Linked DNA regions of Drosophila melanogaster. The gene in region 2 interacts genetically with the main gene of each other region. Each region holds a gene or a part of one and is shown on either strand. Other genes may lie near its edges.

Region 1 (6,904 bases), on a different chromosome or scaffold from region 2:
ACTTGCAGTCACCAGCTTGTGGTTCGGCAACAGTCGCAGTCCACTGGGTGCCACATTCATAAAACTGGATGCCGCGCAATTGGGCCTCTGTGTTCTGTGGAATGTCCACTGTCTTTGGCGCATCGCCATCGTCGACGAGCACTGGTGGTCACTTGGCCTGGCCCTGCTTGTTCTGCTGAATCACTTTGTCCTGTGGCGACTGCCGCTGCACTACAACATCAGCCAATTGGAGGTGGCCACCGTGGGCATGTGCTTTAGCACCATCTTTGCGCTGAATGCCATCCAGGAGCAACTGGACGCTGTGGCCAGCTGAGAGTAGCTGGTCGGGCAACCAGGGACTGGAGCCTTGATTGCCAAGCTCTAAGACACCAACATTTAATTATAAGATGCACGTTGTTGAACAATTTTTTGAGTAATAAACCAGACTTCTTATTTCGAAACAATTATTGCATTGTTATCATACATACATAAAAGTGTGGAATTATATTGGATTAGACGGTTTCCTTTTGCATAAGCTTTTTAATACATATTTTCGTTTTAAATATAGTTTAAATTACTTCTCTATGCGCTTTATTACATATTGATCTGGGCTTGGAGTTTCTATACTCTCGGTTTTGTTCGCCGGCTCGAAGTGTTCCACGCAACGAGCACGGCCTAGCCGAAAACTAACTCTCATTGTTAAGGAAAATTAAATGTAGCAAGTATCGTTAGAAAGAAAACTATATATATATATATGTATACGATTTAAAAGAATGTGAAAACAAATCGTACGCCTACGAAACTAATAATTGGGGCGAGAGATGGTTGTGGTGGGTTGAGGGATGAGGTTTTGGGCGGGGCAATTTCCTAGGCGTGGGTGCTGTCGTCCTCGACGAAGTCCTTGGCCTCCTCCCTGGTCACACAATCAATGTGACTGACCTTATTTCGGAATCGCACGCCGTAGAACTTGTGCGCGTTCTCCAGCAATTCCGGCCGGAACGTTGTCGTAATGAACTGGGCAGTGTCGCTGAGCTCATGGATCATGTTCGCCACCGCCTTTCGATGCATTGCATCCAGCGCCTGCACAAAACATTAGTAGATCATTAGTCAATCAAATAAAGTAATGCGTAATTATAGGTAATGTGACGACTCACCTGATCTATCTCATCAAATAGGTAGAAGGGAGCTGGATCGCACTTTTGGATGGAGAAAATGAGGGCCAGGGCGACAAGCGACTTCTGTCCACCAGACAACTGGTTCATCTCACGCATCTCAGCCTCAACGCCGGTGAACGAAACCCGAATGCCGATCCCTGTGAAAGCATCGGAGTTTTCCACCTCCTTTTCCATTTCGTCGCCTTCGTTGTCCTTGGTCTTCAGGATGAGAAAGCCCGCGCCCATGGGCACCAGCTTCTTAAACACCTTGGTGAAGTTCTGCGCCACTTGTCGGAACGTAAATTGAATGGCCTCCACTTTTTGCATCTCCAATGACTGAATTAGCATGTGGATCTTCTGGTCACCGATGTCGAGCTCCTCTTTGCGGCGATAGAGCTTCTCCTTCTGCTCGGAGAAGCTCAAGAACTGATCCAGGGCTTTCTTGTTCACATGGTTATACTTCTTCAGGTGCTGGTTTGCCTTCTCCAGCTCTTTGAAGATGTTCTTCAGGGACATGCGTGTGTAGGAAGGATCAACTAGCGGCACGGCGCCCAAGCTGGCAATCTTTTCCGTACACTCATCGATTTTTTCGTTGAGCATGTTCTCCTTGGTCGACCATTTCTCCAGCTGCTTGGAATCCTTGTTAAGATTCTCCTCGGCCTCCTTCTCCTTACGCACATGCGTTTCGAGCTCCTGCTGCAGCTCCTTTTGCAGTTGCACAGCCTCCATTACCCGCTTTTCGATCTCCTCCAGATCGGAGTTGACCTTCTTGATTCTCTTTTCGGCGGAAACCAGTTCCGTTTTGCAATTGTTTAGCTTTCGCTTGCGGTCCTCCACGGAAATCTCCTGCAGCGCTTGGATCAGTTCGTCGCGACGCCGGAACAGATTGTTGATCAGCAGGTTGTCTAGCTTGTTCTTGCGCACCTCGAACTGCATACGCTGCGTAAACGCTTCCTTATTCTCCTGGTTCAGTCGACGAATGTCGTCGTTCAGCTGGTCAATCTCACGCTGATCCTGCGACGACAACGTCGACATCAGCTCCTGCTTCAGCTCCGCCTCCAAACTAGATTTCGTACTGGTCATGGACTCCAATGAGGCCTTGCATTGGGCCAGTGAGCGCTCCTTGGGCGCACGATACTGCTCGATGCGCACCAGCTCCTCCTTCATCAGGCGAATCTCGCCCTGCACCTTTTCGAATACATCCTTCGACTTGCCCTGCTTCGTTTCCGTCTTCTGCATCTCGGATACGATTGAGTTGATGTTGTTCTCGGTGGACTTGAGCTCGTTTCGCAGCTTGCTGAGTTTCTTTTCGAATTCAGCTATCTGGCTGGTGTATTCCGTGCGCTTCTTTTGCATCTCAAGACGGGAACGGGATGTATTGAAATAGCCGCCAGTGAGGGATCCCTTGGAGGACACTTGATCTCCGTCCAGCGTAACGCAATCCAGCCCAGTGCTCTTGGCCAGCTCGGTGGCGCGCTCCAAATTTCTGCAGATTAGCGTTTTTCCAAAGATATACCTCAGCGCCTTGTCGTGCTGTTCATCGTACTTCAGTTTGGAGATCATAGGTATGGAGTCGGGATCATCCGGATAATCGTGTATTTTAACCTGAAGTCGATTCAGGGGCATAAAGGTCACCTCGCCCGGTAATTTCAGCTTATTCATCTCCTTGAGGATTTGCGTGCCCTCGTATTCTGACTCCACAATGTGATGGAATAACCGATTGGCGGCTGTTACCTCCACCGCCGTGTAGATGGTCTTGTCGCAGCTGAAGTTCTCAATGACGGGTCCATAGTAGGCTCTCGCAATCTCCGCCGATTGACCGCCACGTTCCACAAAGCTGTCGAGAACCTTGCGCACAGAATCGCAACCGTTCAGGATCGGCTTGCCGGCCATGCTGCGCAGCGCCTGGTCCGCCCGCGATAGCTCCTCCTTGTGCGTCTGCAGCTGCTGCGTCATCTGTGTCTCCTTGCGCCACAACTCGTTTCGCATGGACTGATGCTGGTCCTTGGTCTTCTTAAGCTCGTAGTACTTCTTGTTGTGCTCGTCGATCTGCAGTCGGAGCTGCTCCAGTTCCGATGAGTGCTCCTCGATCTTTTGACCCAGATCCTTTTCGGAGGTAGCGTCCTTCTTCAGATCCTCCACGAGTTTTGCGTGATGAGCGATTTTATCGCGCGTCTGTTTGCTAATTGACTTCAGCTCGTTGGTGATCCATTTGTCGCGATCCTCCCTAGAGGAGAACTGTGAACCGCGACCCTGCTTGGCGTAAAGCTCCTTGCGCTTCTGTTCCTTGAGCTGCAGCTCTCGGGAGCAGTCTTCCTCCTTGCGCTTCATCGCCTCGTATTTGGGCTTTACGTCGTCCAGTTCCTTTTCGCGTTCGGCTATCGTTACCTTAAGGTTCTTAAGCTCCTGGTCAGCCCGCTCCTTGGACTTGTTGTCGCCCTGAACCTCGTCATTTAGATCGACAATGGTTAGGTCTAGTTTCGTTTTCTCGCGCAGTAACTGTTGCTGCTCCGTCATCAGTACGGAGCGCTCCTCCTTTGTGCTCTGCACTTTCTTCTTTGCCTCTTTAAGGTTCTTTTGCACATCCTTGATCTTCTCTTGTGCCTTCTGAATCTCAATGTTGTAGATCTTCTTTTTGTCCGAGGACGACTTGCGCTGCAGCTGGAGCTCGTCGAGAGCCTTCTTGGTGTCCTTCAGCTCGGTTTCGTAGCGTATATACTCTAGCGTGCGGCGCGTCTTGTCCCACTTCTGGTACTCCTTTAGCTCTTCCTTCTCCTCTTCGAGCGTCTGGAGCCGATCCTCGATGGTCTTTAGGTACTCGCTGATTTTCTCCACCTTGCTGTCCGTCTCGCGCAATAGATTTAACGACTCCTCCTTCCGTTCGTCGTAAACACGCGTTCCCGCGACTTCGCGTAGCAGCTTGAGACGATAGGAATCGGCGGCAGTTGCCATCTGATTGATTTTGCCCTGCTTGACAATGTAGTAGGGATTTGAACTGGAAAAACCAGCCGATTCCAGCAGATTGACCACCTCATTGCGCGGCACCACCTTCTTGTTGAGGAAGTACTGGTCCTTTTTGGCGCCAATCACGCGCCGCAGAAAGATCTCTTCTTTGTCGATCTACAAAATAAGCGTAGCGTCAGTTATGAAGTGGCTAGAAATGTTTGCCTATAAGTTTGAATATTATGAGAAGATGCTATGAGCGGGTTGCTTTAGAGGATTTTGAGCGATATGTTACAACCATTGACTACATCTTCCAAGGCAGTAGAGTTCTTGCAAAGACTATGTTTTCTGGGTCACTTGGTTTGACTACTCACTGGAACTCGGTTGTCCGAGTTGTCGAAGATGATCTCCACATAGGCGGAGATGACGCGGGCACCTGTTCCCTCGTGCAGAAGCGACTGACGCTGCTCCGGCCGCAAGTGGGTGAACTCATCGCTTAGCACAAACTGGATGGCTGCAAAGTGGATGGGATAGCATTAGGGTCGATTAAATATGGTTAGCTGAACAGGCAGGCTGGAGCTGATACTAACCGTAGAAGAAGTTGCTCTTCCCGGAGCCATTACGTCCAACAACAACGTTATGGCGCTTGTCGAATGGTTCCACCACCGTCTGGTCCTTGTAACTCTTGAAGCCTTGTATAATAATCTGGAATTAACGGGTGGATTTCAGATCTTCGGTGTCCAATGGGTGGCCAGGAGCATGGCCGTCATTTCAACACTCACCTGCTTGATGTGCATCTTATTATATGCGATTTTTTGCACAAAATCGCGCTCTTTTTGTTTTACAACAAATACATAAATAATATCGACTCGGGCAGCGACTTATCGATGTTTGCGTTTCACTATCGATGTCATCGATATCCCAACTTTGAAAAACACTGGCTTGCAATCGAACCAAAAATTCAAATGATATAAAACAAAAAAATAATTTTAAATTTTACAACTAAAAGTGTCCATCAATAATGGTTTAAGAAGCAAACAAATAATTAATTTAATAAGGTAGTTTGAAGGTGTGAAATACTAAAACAACGATAGCCGACGTTATCGAATCGAATCGATTACTCTTGTTAAATTCACTCAGTACAGATATATTTTTATAGAAAGCCACTCGATTCATTCGATATAAATAAACACGGAACACCGTTTGTGTTTATTATATTACGACGTGTCTGTATTTTGACCCGTGCCCGAGGATCTGGAAAGTTCGCGATTGCCGCCAAAACAAGCAAGGACCCCATTCGGGTGTAGCAGGTGCAGGAGCAGGTGGACAGGAAACGGAGAAGCAGCTGAAGGAAACTCAAAGGAAGTGGTCACAGTGGGGAGAAGGAGCCCGTGAACTGAACCATCATCATTACCATCGAGCGCATTTAGGATGGCTGGGTCCGCACTGCGCCGCCTGATGGCGGAATACAAACGTGAGTCGAAAGTCCACAGGGCAGCAACAGCTTTCCCTTACCACCGCTCCGATCATCTCCAGAGTTAACACTTGACCCGCCCGAGGGCATTGTGGCCGGCCCCATCAGCGAGGACAACTTCTTCGAGTGGGAGGCACTGATTGCGTGAGTTAAGATCCCCGAACGATCGACACGGATCGGACAGATGTGGACAGATTAACCCATTAATTGCACTTTGCCCTTTGCAGCGGACCTGAGGGCACTTGTTTCGAGGGCGGAGTGTTTCCTGCCCGGCTCATCTTTCCGACCGACTATCCTCTGAGTCCGCCTAAAATGAAATTCACTTGTGACATGTTCCATCCCAACATATTCGCCGACGGGCGGGTCTGCATATCAATACTACACGCACCCGGCGACGATCCCATGGGCTACGAGCTATCCGCGGAGCGCTGGAGTCCTGTCCAGAGCGTGGAGAAGATTTTGCTTAGTGTGGTCAGCATGCTGGCGGGTAAGAAAAAAGTCACAATAAAGTCTTAAGGGCAATTCCAACGGGGGTATCTACTTCCAAGTTCATTTGTTCACTAGATTATATGGTTGATCATGCCGATAGTTCACTTCACTTGTTCATTCCTTAAGTTCAAACTGATGTCGTTCATTTTTGCCCACAGAACCCAACGATGAGAGCGGCGCTAATGTGGATGCAGCAATTATGTGGCGCGAACAGAGGGATGAGTTCAACGCCATCGCCCGACGGCTGGTGCGCAAAACTCTTGGTTTACCGGCGTAAATGGATCATGTGCGTCACCGTCAATACTTTCTACCCTGAACAACACGATTCCAACAACTCGCTAACCCATAGTTTTCTCAAAAATCCCTCGTTGAGCTAACCGACACAAGTTTCAAATTAGCAAAAATGAAGAACCTAACGTCAAAATCGACTAACTCAAGTTTATCTAGCACACTGACTGCCTCACCGGACTTAACTGGAGGGCCTATTACCTGAAGTACATCACTGGTAGTTGGACACGAGGCCAGGTGAAGGCGGAGTGAGAAGTTGGCAAGAAAAGTGAAAATTCTAATAATTTCTATTATTAAAGGTTTATTTTTTTTTATATATTTTCACTAGATATAATTTGTATTGATGCTTTATAAAGATGCTGTTTTGAAAAGTTAAATAGAAATTACGATAATTCAAGTGCAAGGGCAATGTATTCGAAGTGATTGAGGCGTTTGATTTGCATTATGCTTTATGTTTGGTTTATATAGTCATTACACACTTAATTCGACTGATCATTAACTGAAATCCAACATGAAATTGTCCTATGTACTCATAAAATACTACACAATTGTAAACGTTTTCATTCGATTAAGTAAA
Region 2 (4,801 bases):
ACGCTGATACGTTGAGTGCATTTTACATATTTTTTTACTACTCTCAGATTGTTTATTTATATTGAATACAAAAATCGGACTTTGCTTATTTAAACAAAATTCCTCGAAGTGATATTTTTCCAAGTGTTTGGCCTGCTTGGCTGGACACGCTGAATCGTGGAGGTTTGGCCTTGTTCCCTCCTGATAACCCATCTTCCAACTCCGATCTCCGAAAAGGGCTGCCGGCTTTCGACGTGTGTCAAGTGTGCTGCATTTGTTTAATGCCAGCGCTCAGTAATTGGAAAGCATGTCGAACATGTCGAATTTATTGCCCCGCAAAAAGCACACAGATACAAATTGAAACGGTTACAGATTACGGATGCAGCTAGCTACACATGGCCACAAGGTTACATAGACACGGATACAGATCAATGGGGGAATTCAGAGCATTCCGAGTCAATGGCTTGGAAGAGCCTCAACCAAATGCAATTAATCAAACGCAAGGGGCCAATGTCAATTACATGCAAGAAACCCCCATTTCGGTCTCCTATTCTCCTATTCCTTCGATTCCTCCCAAAATCCCTTCGATTCGTTGCTATTCGGAAGTATTCGGACCACGTCAGCTGGCCAAATGCGAGTTGTTGGCCAAACGACGATGTCTTGGCCAACACCTTCCTGTAAGCTATAAATTCCGCCGACACATACATACATCTACCAGCGTAGCCATTACCCACGACTGTTGTCCTTGTGGGCCAAAAGCTTGTTCGGTTTCTGGGTCCCAGCATATGTTTATCACTGCTGCCGAATTCTGCCAACCAAAATTGCATTAAATATTTTGCATAATTCGATAAACTGAAATCTAATCGAATGGCAAGCAGGAACATGCGAATTTCTGGCATACCTATGTATAGATCCCAATTGGAATAATGATTCATCCCTAATGGCTTCGTAATTGAAACTATTCACTTAACAGCTCTTGACACTTGAACCTCATCATAACATGGAAAACGGTCATTTGGTCGGTTTTAATGGTGTACTACATTTTTGGTTTTGACAGTGAACTTTTAGCATATTATGTTTCTGAACATAAATTGCGTTGATTTAGACTATCGCTTAATTATGCCAAATAATATGTTTGTTTGTTTATTTAGTTTTCAAACCAAGGCGTTCAACAGAAAATGAATTATTATTGGTGGGACACAAAAACTAGGCTATATGGAATATTATTTATTAATATTAACAAATGAATACACCACATGTAAATTTATAAGTTAGCAATTTTATGTTCAAGTTTTACCCGTAAGGGATAATGTTCCACCATCTTTAGATTCGCAAACTAATTCCGATTACAGGTGTTGGCCCGATGCACAGATAACACATTTATTTAACATTTATTTAATAAATAGTAGTAAAATTATATAAATATCACATTTAATAAATTGAGTCGATTTAAATCTTTGAGCATGCAAAGCGTGCTGCAAAACTAATTTACTGATAAGAAAAAGACTTTCGAAGTTTCCAAAGATTGAATATCCTACAGGTTGAAGAATCCTGGATCAAATTGCACGTTTTTATGCTCGGGGATGCAAACCGAAATTTGGTGGCACCTCTCTCTGCTGCCGCAACATGTTGCAACAGTCGCGGCAATGTTGCTGCAACACGCAGTCACCCCCCGCAGAAAATCCACCACCGACGAAAGTATCCATCGGATACACGAACTCGCTTCGGCTTCCAACTGAGTTTTAGCAAGAAACTCAGTTTCTGTTTCTGGTTTTGCCAGTTACCACTGCGACTCCGGACCGATTGGACGCGTTTTGAGCGTTTGGCCAGCAAGAACGGTATTATTTTTCACTCGGGGCTACGCGTGCGCGTCTCTGCAAAGTCAAAAGCAAAGACAAATGCAAAGGCAAGTGCAAAGCCAAAAGGCAGAGGTAAACGCAAACCCAAAGTAACAACTTCGACGGTCGAAATTACCGGTTTTTCGCCAACACAACATACAACAATCCTCGCTCTCAGTGAATTTTAGCGCGCGGTCTTTTCTTCGCCTGCTGTTTTCAGAAAAGTGCGTTGGCTTTTCCAACAACCACCCCCTTTTTTTAGCCGCCCAGCTTAACGGTCGGGGTTATAGTCGGTTTAGCATTCGAATTATTCGAATTTCCCGGAATCAAAATAGTTAAATCAGTTTAAACAGTGCTCTAGAGTGAGGCCAGTCACACAAACTGGCGAGTGCTAATTATAATATATTGTGTTAATAATACAAACACAAGATTCACGCAGAGGAAACAACACGGATGCGCGATTTTAAATGCAATATTATAAATATTTAACAATGCAGCCGTGCAGCTAAAGCGGATTATTGGCCACCCACGCGTGGAAATTCAGCGGCAGAGCAAACAAAAGCCTGTAAGTTCACACGTTCCAGCCAGGATATATCAAGGATATGTGCATGTGCTCGCGCATATACATATGTCCTTGTGGGCGGGATGCGGCTGCATTCTAATGGGAATTGTGCGACGCATGACACCTGATTCATGACGTATGACAGGTGTCGTTCCAACAGGACACTATATGTTCCGCAGGCGTGGCCTTAAATCTCTTAGATAAACTTCGTATTTAAGGGCTTACGCCATAGCGGAATCGCGTAATTCATATTTTCAAAGGGTTATAAGCTCTAGAAAAGTATTTTGTATCTGCATATAAATGGGGGCCTGTATGAAATATTGCTAGAACCTTTATTTGTTATATGATATGGAAAGACGCTTAGTGGTTCTGGCTACCTCTGAAATGTTTCGATTTAAGACGTTCTTAATTAACGGCTTTCAGCTCTAGGGCTTCGGCAATAAAATAGAGCTCCAATTGGGCCTTTAAACCTAAGGCCTCTTTCTTGGCCATCTCCAATTAGCAGTTGGCCCAAACAGTTGGCCGATGGCCGAAGTCGAAGTCGAAGTCCGACGCTCACACAGTGCAACTGTTAAAGTTCAGAGCCATCGCAAAAAGATACAAACGCGAAGCTCTAAACAAACATTAAACTGAATACCAAATGAGACAACAAAAGGAGGAAGCACAATAAAAGTCACATTAAAACGTGGGTCAAAAACGCGGAGAGCGCGAGGAGAGAAAGGAGAAGAGTTGGGTCAAAACATAACCGAAATCGGAATCGGGGAATCGTGGAATCAAATGCCTGCACGAGATACAAATGTATCTGTATCTGAGCGTTGCAAGTGCTTTGTTTTCCCTGCATTTCACACTTGTCCATGGGATTTTGCCTTTGCCATTGCGTTTGTATCTTTGTTTCTGCGCCCTTTGTCTGGCGCATAAATATTTCAGCAGGCCGGGACAAACTTATCTGCTGGATACATTATTCACTCGACTCAGTTTTGTCGGATTGCCAATTTATTAAGATAGATTTTATTTTCGAGGCCATTAACAGGGCCTTTGTTATATTTCGATGGGGGCCAGATACTCTCGCACATTTATGTTTTATGATTTTCTAGTTGGAATGCGGTGTGTTTGGTGCAATTGGAAGAGTCAAGTCAAGTCCATTTTGAGCCTGCCAGTGGCAAGTAGCTGAAAAATTGTTGTAAGACTGGTTTTCTGCTACTGCTCCTCGTTCGACCCCTTTCTCCCTGCCTCTCTCTAGCTCTCTCTGTCTCTCTTTCTCGGCGTGTTACCAACCTTTTCCCATTCTTCTTGCGGCTGGTGCAGAGAAAAAAAAGTTATTTACTTAGGTTAATTATGTGATCCAAGTTTAGTTACACACAAAAACATCAAATGTCGTTCTATTATATTTTATAAGACGATTAATATTAAGAGTTAAAGGCTTAAGGTGTTATCCTTTAATTTTTACAATAGGCTGTTTTCTTGAAATATGTGTAGAATGAGTTTAATCCATTTATATTTGAAATCAAATAATTGCGGATATAAAGATTAAGTTGTAGTAGAGGAATTACTTGAATAAAATTTAAGAAAAAGTAGGTAAATAAAATATTTTACCGTGCTTAAAATGAGTTTGTTAGCGCCTGGCTCTCTTCGCGGTTTTGCAGCTGTCTCGGCCAGGTTAGGAGCAATCCACCACCGGCAGGCAGATCCGCTACGGGCCATCATCCTGACCAGAACGCATCCTCTTCTTCTTCGGTAGCCGCAACCTGTTTTTCATTGGTTATGTTTTTTGTTTTTTTGAGTTCGAAGTGATCAGTTAAGACTTCAGTTGGCCAAGGAGCCAACGAAAAAGGTGATTTTTTCCGGCTTCTGATGCCACATTCACTGCGAATAGCCAACTCGCACGGCGAACTAACCTCAGTCAATCCATTCGATATCCATGCCGGCATAGGAAAACTCGTTATGACTCTTGATTAATTAACATTTGAATGCTGTCTCGTGCCAGTTAATGTGGCTGATTTGTGACCGGCTTGAGTCCATCAAAATATCAACAGTCTATTGTGGAATTTATTACAGAATCAGAGGGCCAATGGCCAAATGAGATTTGCATGGCATGGAGTTGGACGAATTCGTGTGCACACACCAGAGATTCATTGATGACGTTGATGGTCCACATTTTTCGGTATCTTTTGTGGGTTTATGGTGGCCTCTCTTGGCCACTACTCACACGGCTATCCATGAGATACTTCTGCGTAGGCATCGGCCCTCTTGGTCGCGCACTCAAAACTGGTTTCGGCCACATTCAAAATTGTTATGTTAGAATAAAAGCTTAATTGATGCATATACACACGTACGGTTCAGTTTTATACGGCAGCAGTGGTCCGTAGATACAGCCGAAAAAAAAAACAGTCAGATACATTTACATATACAAATACAGATGGAA
Region 3 (4,909 bases), on a different chromosome or scaffold from region 2:
GTGCTGACAATCAAGTAGATGGTGTGGGAAAAAGACACAAGACATGGCTAAAAATAAATCATGGAAGGGGCGTTTTGGAAAATGTTGGTTTATTTAAATAAATATTTAAATATTTTTAAACTATTTATACATTACATATATAAGCACGAAACCGCTAAGGTTATTAGTTCAGCCCATTTGCACATTACCAAGTAATTATTATCCTAAGCCGCCAAAGGTCTTTAGTTTTCCACCATTCCTCGTTGCTAATCTTTTAATGCGTTTTTAATGTCTGATCCCTCCGATCCGCGTGCCTGTTTTAAATGTCAATTCCCTCTTGGCCACTGTCATCAAATCTAATAATGCCCCCGAGTGGAGCAATTCCCCAGAAGCTTGAGGCCTAAAAAGCCTCCATAGAGAGTTCATTGATTTCTCGTTTTTTTTTTCGGTCGGAGGCGTTGACAGTTAAAGCTTCAAAGACGACTTTTACGAGTAGTTCGTATAAAAGCGTTGGAAAACGCGTGTCAAAGGCCCAATTAAGATGTCAAATCAACACGTTTTGTTTATTAACTGATTGCACACACACAAAACACGAGCTGAAAACGCGGAGAGCGCCATAAAGTTAATGGTGCAATATATCTTTTGAGGGGGTTAAAAACTCAGAGGGACTAGCCCCCAACTAATCGCCAGACAAATTAATAAAAAGGAACTGGCTGCTCCCCTTTTCGACTTCCCTTGACCGATTTGCCCGATTGAGTGGATATAATTCACATTTAAATTTAGCCCCAGCCCCCCCCCTTTGCCGACTTTTCCAGGGGTTCTTTAAGTATTAAAAAGCATTTTGTAAGCAAAGCATTATGTGTGCGGAAGGGAAAAACTTTGCCGAAGCGTGCCAAACTAAAGTTTTTCCTATACTTATACCACTGTGTCCTCTCCCCCAGTTTTGCGCCCTTTATTTGTGACACAGTAAATATTCTTGCATAATAACAGCATTTCCTAACTGATGCGGAGCATCTGGAAAGTGGAAAATTATGCTGGAATTTTTAATTAAGACGATACTTATATCTTTCAGACTGTCAAGTGTGGATATAGACATAGTAAATACATGGTTAATCAGTTTTTTTCATGGAATATCGACTTTACTTTAGCTACCGATTCAATATCTTCCTAGTAAATGCTGCCAATTGACAGGAGCCAACAAAGGGGTGGGCTGCGGAAAATTGCGTGGAAAATTGGGGAGGCTTGGGTAGCAGATAAAAAACTTTACGCTGACGTCAAGCTGCAACAACCTAGATCAACAAAAAACTAAAGTGACGTCGCAAGGTGACAACAGCAAAGGCGACTTGAAAAAACAGGGGGAAAATGCCGGAGGAAAGTGGCGGAAAAAGGGGAGCTGTCATAAGCAGGGTATGTCAAGGGCGGAACCGAAACTTTTAATTGATTTGTGATATGCGTGTGCCGAACACAAAGAGTGAGCTAGCGAATAGATTGGGATTTATCGGGAGCTATCAATCTTACCACCGATAAACAAATGAACTCAAGTGATACCCCCTATAGATATTTAAGTTCTGGAATAATGCTCGAGAAAAGCTGGGTAATCTTCTTAGCAATTATATACATATATAACTCCATTGCAAACAAAAAGCTTCTTATCAAACGAACAAAGTAAACTTACCGATGAGAAAAAAGTTGCATATAGTCGTTGCTGCTCTCCTCGCACTCCTGCTATTGACTATTGCCGTCCCTTTCGTGGTAGTTTTTCGCCTCATTTTGTGACTATATTTTGAATATATTTTGTATATGTTTCTACTGTTTTTGCTTATCTTTGGGTGCTACTCTCAATTCCCTTTGCAAAAACAATTTTTGCTACTTTTGCTGGACTTCTTATTCCAATTCGCAGTTAGTGGTGTTGTTGCAACGCTCCATTGCGTTGGTTAATGTTTTTATGCTTTCGACGATATAGTATTTTTTATTTATTGCACACGAAACTTTGAACGGATAGCCGAAAACGAAGAAGAACAACTGAAAAGGGTTAAGAATGGTGTTGTTGATTAGAAATTGCTCGGCTTTGTGGGGTTAAGATGTTGTATGTGGTTCCACGGGCATTCTTGTTTTTTATTAGTTATTCAAGTGCAGTTTATGTTTATAATCCAAGTCCTTATGGCAGTTGTTGTATTATCACTAATTCTTTTAAGTTGTATCCATCCATTGTTTTTTTTTTTTCATAAATTTGCAATAATTAATAATATATTTTTTATTATTAATATATCAAAAAAATTTAACAGGTTTTTTTTACTTTGTTTAAGTTTTCTTTTTCATCTCATTTATCCATATCTTTGCTTCGCCTTTATCTACCTCTCCTTTTTCACAGTTATAACTGCATTTATGCTTCACACTTTTTCGTGCTTGTTGTTGCTTTAGAGTTGCAACATGTTTTTATTGCTTTTGTTGTACTTTTGAGCAGGTAAGAAAATCACTTAAAAGGTTTCCAAGAAACACACCAATACACGTTATACACACAATCACACGCACGCATACACATACACACGAAATGGACGCTAAACCTGTTTCCCAGGTAAATCGGTAAAGATGTGCGAGTGCGAGGGGGACAGAGCGATCGTCAGAGATCGTGGATAAAACGGGAGGGAGGGAGCGAGATAGAGATGACGCAGATGCTGCGTTTTTTTCTTATTTATCTTAGCTTCGTTTCCTTTTCTTAAAGTTTTAACTGTTGTTTATTCGAAATAAATCTATTATTTTGTATTTATTGTTGCTTGCTTGCATTGTTTTGATTTTGTATACCGTTGCTTTTGGTCTTTCCACTGCCACTGAAACCACACACACACATACACTGTGCACAGTAATTTTGTATAAATTTCAATTTTATACCTCAAATTTAGTATATTTTCTGCGTTTTACCCAATAAATTGGGACTGTTGTTGTTGCTGCTGCTGAGTTGTTGTTCGCACACACGCGGAAATCGACGAAAAACGCGGCGGGAAATTCAGACAACGCGCGCTCACTTTTCCACGAAGCGTTCGATCCGAAATGGGAAAACACACAGAGAAAGGGAAACGAAAATTTGAGCCGCAGCCGCAAAATTCAAGTTCCACAACACAGTCCGCACAAGTTCGAGTCGAACGCGTTTGATGAGAGCCGTTAACAGCGCTGTTAAGTTAAGCTAACATGTTTGACTCGACTTTTATTAAGAGAACATAATAGCGAATTTCTCTTAAGTTTGATTATATTCAGAAAACAAATAATAAATGTTGCCTTTATATTTTAGGCATGTAATGTTTTCAACAAAAGAACCAATAAATTTGAAATAATTTTAAAATTGTTTTTAAGTTTAAATCATCATGTAGTTTCTTTTATATGTAACTTTTAAGGAGAAGTAAACCCATTTTGGAAAAAAAATTGTTTCATTTGGTTTTAAAAACATTGTATGCGTATTTATATATTTTATATTTTTTTCGTCGATAACGGACCCAAATGGTGAAAATGAGCCTAAGGCAGCAACGAATAGAAGCAATTTTGTATGGAAATTCAATTTGCCTTTAGCAACATGTTGCATTTTCCTAGAGGTTTTGAGTGCCTTTTTCCAAGAAAACTCGTTTCTTTGGCCAACAAGAAAAACCAGTCGGGAAATTAGTCAAGAAAAATATAAATAAGAAAAGCCAGCAACAAGTTGGTTTTAAACCAGAGGGAATGGTATAGTCGAGTTTCTCGACTATCAGATACCCGTTACTCAGCTAGTGAAAATGCGAATGCGAAATGCGAAAGTGTTAGAAAGTGTGTTGCTAAATCGATTCGGCTATTGTTCCTGATCCTGAATATATATACTTTATAAAGTTGGAAACGCTTCCTTCTGCCTGTTACATACTTTTCAACGAATTAAGTATACCCTTTAACTGTACGAGTGACGGGTATAAGAGTGGTGCGAAAGGTGCGGCGATAGTGTACATGCAACAAGTTCGAGCTTGAAGGCAAGTAAACTTCGTTAAGTTCGCACATAGCTATGTCCATCTCTTTCGCACCCCCTGTAGCGATCTACATTAAACCAGTTATCTTAAGAGTTTGTGAAGAGACCTCCTTCCTCTTGCACACCTCAAGTAAACCCGTTTTCTAAAAAACACGTTATATTCGAGACGAAAACCTCACTGCTACGACACTCAGCAGCTTAAACCTTTCTTAGACTTTTTTATGACCACACCCACGAGCCAGGTTACAAAAAAAAACTTAAAATTGTTTGTACTTTCAAATAACAATTATACCGTATATAGTATAGTATAGATAGTGTTTAGATTATCCACTAAAATCAGTACGCAATTGTTATAATTTACCCAAACAGTAGCACTAAGTCTTGGTATTATGTAGGGTTTTTTCTTCTTTTTTTCTTTTGAGAAATACCGCGAATGATTGATTTTTTCCGCTTTGTTTCTGAGCAGCTGAAGTGGCTCTGCATATTCAATATTTTTATTTAGCAGTCATGCCACGCGCTTTGCATAATGAATGCATAGGACTTACAAGCAGCCCAAGAATGGTAAATAATTTTAAAACAGATTTTCTGCTCGTTCTGTCTGTTCTGTCGTCGCTGTTCAATGTTTATTGAATTTTTGATTTGGGCCCCAAGGTGATTTCTCCTCATCATAAAACGCCGGACATGTCCCGCTACTAAAGACGCATACAAATGACCTTTGGGTTGGCGGGCTGGCCCCGCCCCCATTTCCCTCAGGTGAAAAGACGACTAGACAACACAACCACTCCCCCCCCCCCATTTTTTTCTTCCTTCCCTCGCTAGGAGCACACGAAAATCCAGCTTAATTATCCCTATCCCTTGCTTAATGTTGCTGTTTACTCGTAGATCCTGGTAATTTCCTTAGCATTACTTTCCTTGCATATTAATCGCCATAAATTTGGGTTAAAATAT
Region 4 (3,931 bases), on a different chromosome or scaffold from region 2:
ATCCACCTACTCCTCAACGATTGCCAACGTCTTCATTCCAAACTTCTTGGAAATCGTTAAGTCAAAGCTCGCTGAATAAATCTAACTGCTCTGGATTGACCGAGGATAGCTATACCGAATCTTCTCCAGCTATTCAACTTGTTCCTAGTGAAAGTCCTAGGCAGTATCTGCCAAGTAGCCAAAATAGAGTCAATTTGAAGGCAAACCCTCGCTGTGTTAAAGGAGGCTATGCTGAGGAGTTCCGTAAAGTCCTCAAAAAAGTAAGAATGGATCAGCGTCAACTTAAAAACCATGCAGCCACTCACACGGCTAAAATTTTGTCTGTTACAAACCAGTATGGTGTTACCATTGCCCTAGTGGCTTCCGATAATGGACGTAGTTTCAATATTCTTCCTCCAAAAGGAGAAACCACACAACTTACAGTTGGATCTATAGTACAATTTTTTCTGGATCCAAGGATAAAGCCCTTAGAGCTAAACAAGAAACAACTGGTCTATTGTCGCCCATACAATGTTGTAATAAAAGGATAAGGACATATTGTATATTTAAAATATATAAATAGTATTTGTAAGGACGGAATTGTAAGTCATTAAAGCCATATTAGTATGTAGCATATACATATAAGATTTGTCAAAAATTACGCTTAACTTTAGAAAAGGAGTTGTACCCTATTGTTCGTTAAATATAATGTCATTTAAAAAAAAACATTATTTCATGGAAAAGTAGTAACAAAAATCAGTCTTTAGGCTTAGAAAGAAATATCGTATCACCAACATACTGACTTCTCCTGGAGTATATTAGCATGGATGCGTTGCGCAAGGAATCTGTAAATACAATACTGATTTTAAAACCTTGTCATCAAAGTAAATAATTATAATCGCACCTCATTGCGTGCGAGGGCACCGCTGCCACAAACAACAAGAATATGACATTGCCCAGCTCATCCATATGGGCATAGCACTTGTGGTAGTCCGAGCAGCTATATTGGTCCACTAACGTAGTTTTATTGCTGGACGACTGGGTTTCAAATTGGTGGACTGCATCCATAGTTTGATCGAAAAACTTCTTTAGAATGTCCAAGCGCTGTAGATCGCCCACAATGATGCGCTTGACACTCGCCGACTGGTTTAGATTTCTGGTAAAGAGACTTTTTCGCGTGTGTCGGTTAATTAGAATGATGGCCAGCACATTTCCATCGATCTCCAGATGCTCGGGCAGACTGCGCGGCACGCATCGCTCGGCGGCTGCCAAAAGGTTGCCTTCATTCCGGTAGGCACTCATGGCATGTGCATGCAACTCTCGGAACGAGGCATTCTCAGCGCCACACAGGACACACAGAGCACTGTTCGACGCCACAGGAATACTGACAAAGCGGTAGGCTATATGGGGACTTTTCACGGGCAAATAGACCGGCACATCGTGTTGCATTGTGCTCGACGAATTCAACAGAAACAGCAGCAGCTCGCGGTCCCGAGTGTCCAGATCCCACCAGCCCTCAGTGGCCACAGCGATACGGTGTCCCACAACCAGGCAGCAAAAGAGCGAGCCACAGTGGCCACTAAATTCATTTAGACACTGCAGCAGCTGGGCGTTTTCCGCCGCCAGCAGACAGTCCGTGTAGCCCAGGAGTTGTGTACCCGCACAGGCGGCTTCCAGAATAGCGTCAACAATCGGGACATACTTCTTGGCGTCCTTCTTCAGTCTATCGAGGAGCGTTGCATGTGCCATTTCTGCGGCCCGGGTAATGAACATGCCTATCGCTCCAAAGACAAGATCAGCCAGCGTCTGAAGCAGTTGCTCCGACCCAACACCGCAGCCGCACACGATCAGGGTGATGGATTCCCGGTCGCGCCATATGTAAGTCCACTCCTCGGCATCCGCGGGAGCCTGATTCTGGATAGGCTGCTGTTTGCTGGTCGTCGTGGCCTCCAGTTGGATTCCCAGCGACTTAAAGAACATGTGAAAGCCGTTTAAGGAGGCCACCGTCGAGAAGGGCAGCTGGATATGGAGAAAGGGTATTAACTAAGTGAATAGGTAGGCAATATGTTACTCTTACATTTTCGCATTCTCCCTTCTTTCGTGTAAACACTGGCAATCCGCCGTTTGTTGTCAAACATAACAAATAGATGGACATCGCAGCTCTTCTTCTTCGCCGAACCTGCTACGTATGATGCTTACATCGATTAAATCGATTCGTTTTGAATTATCGAAAATAAGCGATGCACTAGTAAATTAATATGATTTATTTTAAACTTTTATCTGAATTACTTGCATACTTTTAGTGTTTTAATGTAATAAATCAGTAAGATGCAGTATTTTGTAGCTGATTCAGGAGAACAGATCAAATTCAAATATATTTATGTCAATTTATGCATGCATGCATACTGGTTTGTTTTTCCATTAAATTAAACAGATAATATTTTTTTGTATTTTTTTTTAAAACATCGCTGCTTAAAACATCGATGTTTTTCGATATCAGGGACATCGATGTTTCTGGCAGTAAGTAAGCCAACAAACTAAGCATCTTCATCCATGCCATTTGATTATTTTATTCGATCAACGTTATCGATCACTTTGCGTGCATGCCTGTAGACCAGGGCTGTGGACGTATGTTTGTTCAGCACCATACGGGCACACTGTTCTCACAAATTGCATTTCGCATTGTCCGTCGTCGTCGTTTTCACACGCTGCTCTTTTCTGGAATCGGTAAAAGGTAAGCTTGATATGTGAATTACATGTTCATGATTGTTAATTAATTACACACTGCGTCCTCGCTGGCGCGTTTTGAAAAGCTAAGAAAATTTGGGAAATGCCGCCGCAGTCTTGTCGCATTTGCGGCGGCGATGCGTTCGCCTGTGCCAGTGTGTGCGTATGTGTGGTGTGCCGAGCGCTTGTATGTGTGCGAGTGCGAAAAAGTGTAGCGCGCGCAGGCAACAGCGTGCGCTTGTAGTTGTGTGTTCCAAAAAAATGAAACAAGAAAACAAAAAAGAAATATGGTTGCCTGTCGACAGGCGTAAAAGTACGCAATATGTATAACCAACGGTCTTATTTCCACAGCTTCAGGTCCAGTCCCGGCACCAGATCCAGATCCCGATCCAGATCGAGAGTCGCCGCTCCTCACCGTCATCATAGTGCGAAGAAGAAGAAGCTGAAGCAGAAGCCGCCGCGCACTTTCGATAAATAAAGTGGAAAAAAAAAACAGCAAAAACAAGAAATCCAAAGGGAAAAAACGTGAGATCCGAGCTCATCCGGCGGAGGAGGAAGCCAAGAAGCTATCAAAATTAACGCGGACACAACTGCAGAGCGACGCCGACGCGAACGCCGCTTCTACTACAAAGCGATGGCGACAATGTTGACATCGGACGAGGCGGGCAAGCTGCTCGACTTCTCCCAGAAGCTGGACATTAATCTGCTGGACAAGATCGTCGAGGTTGTGTACACAGCGCAGGGCGAGCAGTTGCGTCTAGCCCAGAGCATACTGACCACGCTGAAGGAGCATCCAGAGGCATGGACGCGGGTGGACAGCATATTGGAGTACTCACAGAACCAGCGGACCAAGTTTTATGCTCTGCAAATCCTCGAGGAGGTCATCAAAACGCGCTGGAAGGTCCTGCCGCGCAACCAGTGCGAGGGAATCAAGAAGTATGTGGTCAGTCTTATCATCAAGACCTCGTCGGATCCCATTGTTATGGAGCAGAACAAAGTGTATCTGAATAAGCTAAACATGATTCTGGTCCACATTCTAAAGCGCGAATGGCCACGCAACTGGGAGACATTCATCAGTGACATTGTCGGTGCGTCGAAAACGAACGAGAGCCTGTGCATGAACAACATGGTAATCCTGAAGAACCTTAGTGAGGAGGTGTTCGACTTTTCGCAGGGTCAGATCACGCAGACTAAGGCCAAGCACCTGAAAGACACCATGTGCTCG

The links.
Region 1: of stan (region 2) and SMC3, changing one suppresses a phenotype caused by changing the other (phenotypic suppression), as found in Drosophila melanogaster (one study listed by BioGRID).
Region 3: of stan (region 2) and ed, changing one enhances a phenotype caused by changing the other (phenotypic enhancement), as found in Drosophila melanogaster (one study listed by BioGRID).
Region 4: of stan (region 2) and fy, changing one enhances a phenotype caused by changing the other (phenotypic enhancement), as found in Drosophila melanogaster (one study listed by BioGRID).

What each region holds. Positions count from the first base shown.
Region 1 is NC_004354.4:16,588,494-16,595,397, forward strand, and holds SMC3 (structural maintenance of chromosomes 3), read right to left. Parts: upstream 4,947-6,904; 5' UTR 4,874-4,946; coding exon 4,859-4,873; intron 4,782-4,858; coding exon 4,667-4,781; intron 4,591-4,666; coding exon 4,451-4,590; intron 4,254-4,450; coding exon 1,134-4,253; intron 1,060-1,133; coding exon 847-1,059; 3' UTR 503-846; downstream 1-502. Other genes in the region: CG13014 (uncharacterized protein), read left to right, coding at 1-313; Ubc7 (ubiquitin conjugating enzyme 7), read left to right, coding at 5,508-5,550, 5,613-5,694, 5,778-6,037, 6,198-6,316.
Region 2 is NT_033778.4:10,671,588-10,676,388, forward strand, and holds the start of stan (starry night), read left to right. Parts: upstream 1-1,757; 5' UTR 1,758-2,382; intron 2,383-4,801. UniProt on the Drosophila melanogaster protein: Involved in the fz signaling pathway that controls wing tissue polarity. Also mediates homophilic cell adhesion. May play a role in initiating prehair morphogenesis. May play a critical role in tissue polarity and in formation of normal dendrite fields.
Region 3 is NT_033779.5:4,029,515-4,034,423, reverse strand, and holds the start of ed (echinoid), read right to left. Parts: upstream 3,048-4,909; 5' UTR 2,869-3,047; intron 2,002-2,868; 5' UTR 1,749-2,001; coding exon 1,655-1,748; intron 1-1,654.
Region 4 is NT_033779.5:8,400,948-8,404,878, forward strand, and holds fy (fuzzy), read right to left. Parts: upstream 2,334-3,931; 5' UTR 2,135-2,333; coding exon 2,057-2,134; intron 1,999-2,056; coding exon 884-1,998; intron 825-883; coding exon 767-824; 3' UTR 531-766; downstream 1-530. Other genes in the region: CG31898 (uncharacterized protein), read left to right, coding at 1-530; emb (embargoed), read left to right, coding at 3,341-3,931. UniProt on the Drosophila melanogaster protein: Plays a role in the organization of cell polarity via a planar cell polarity (PCP) cascade. Involved in the development of the hairs on the wings.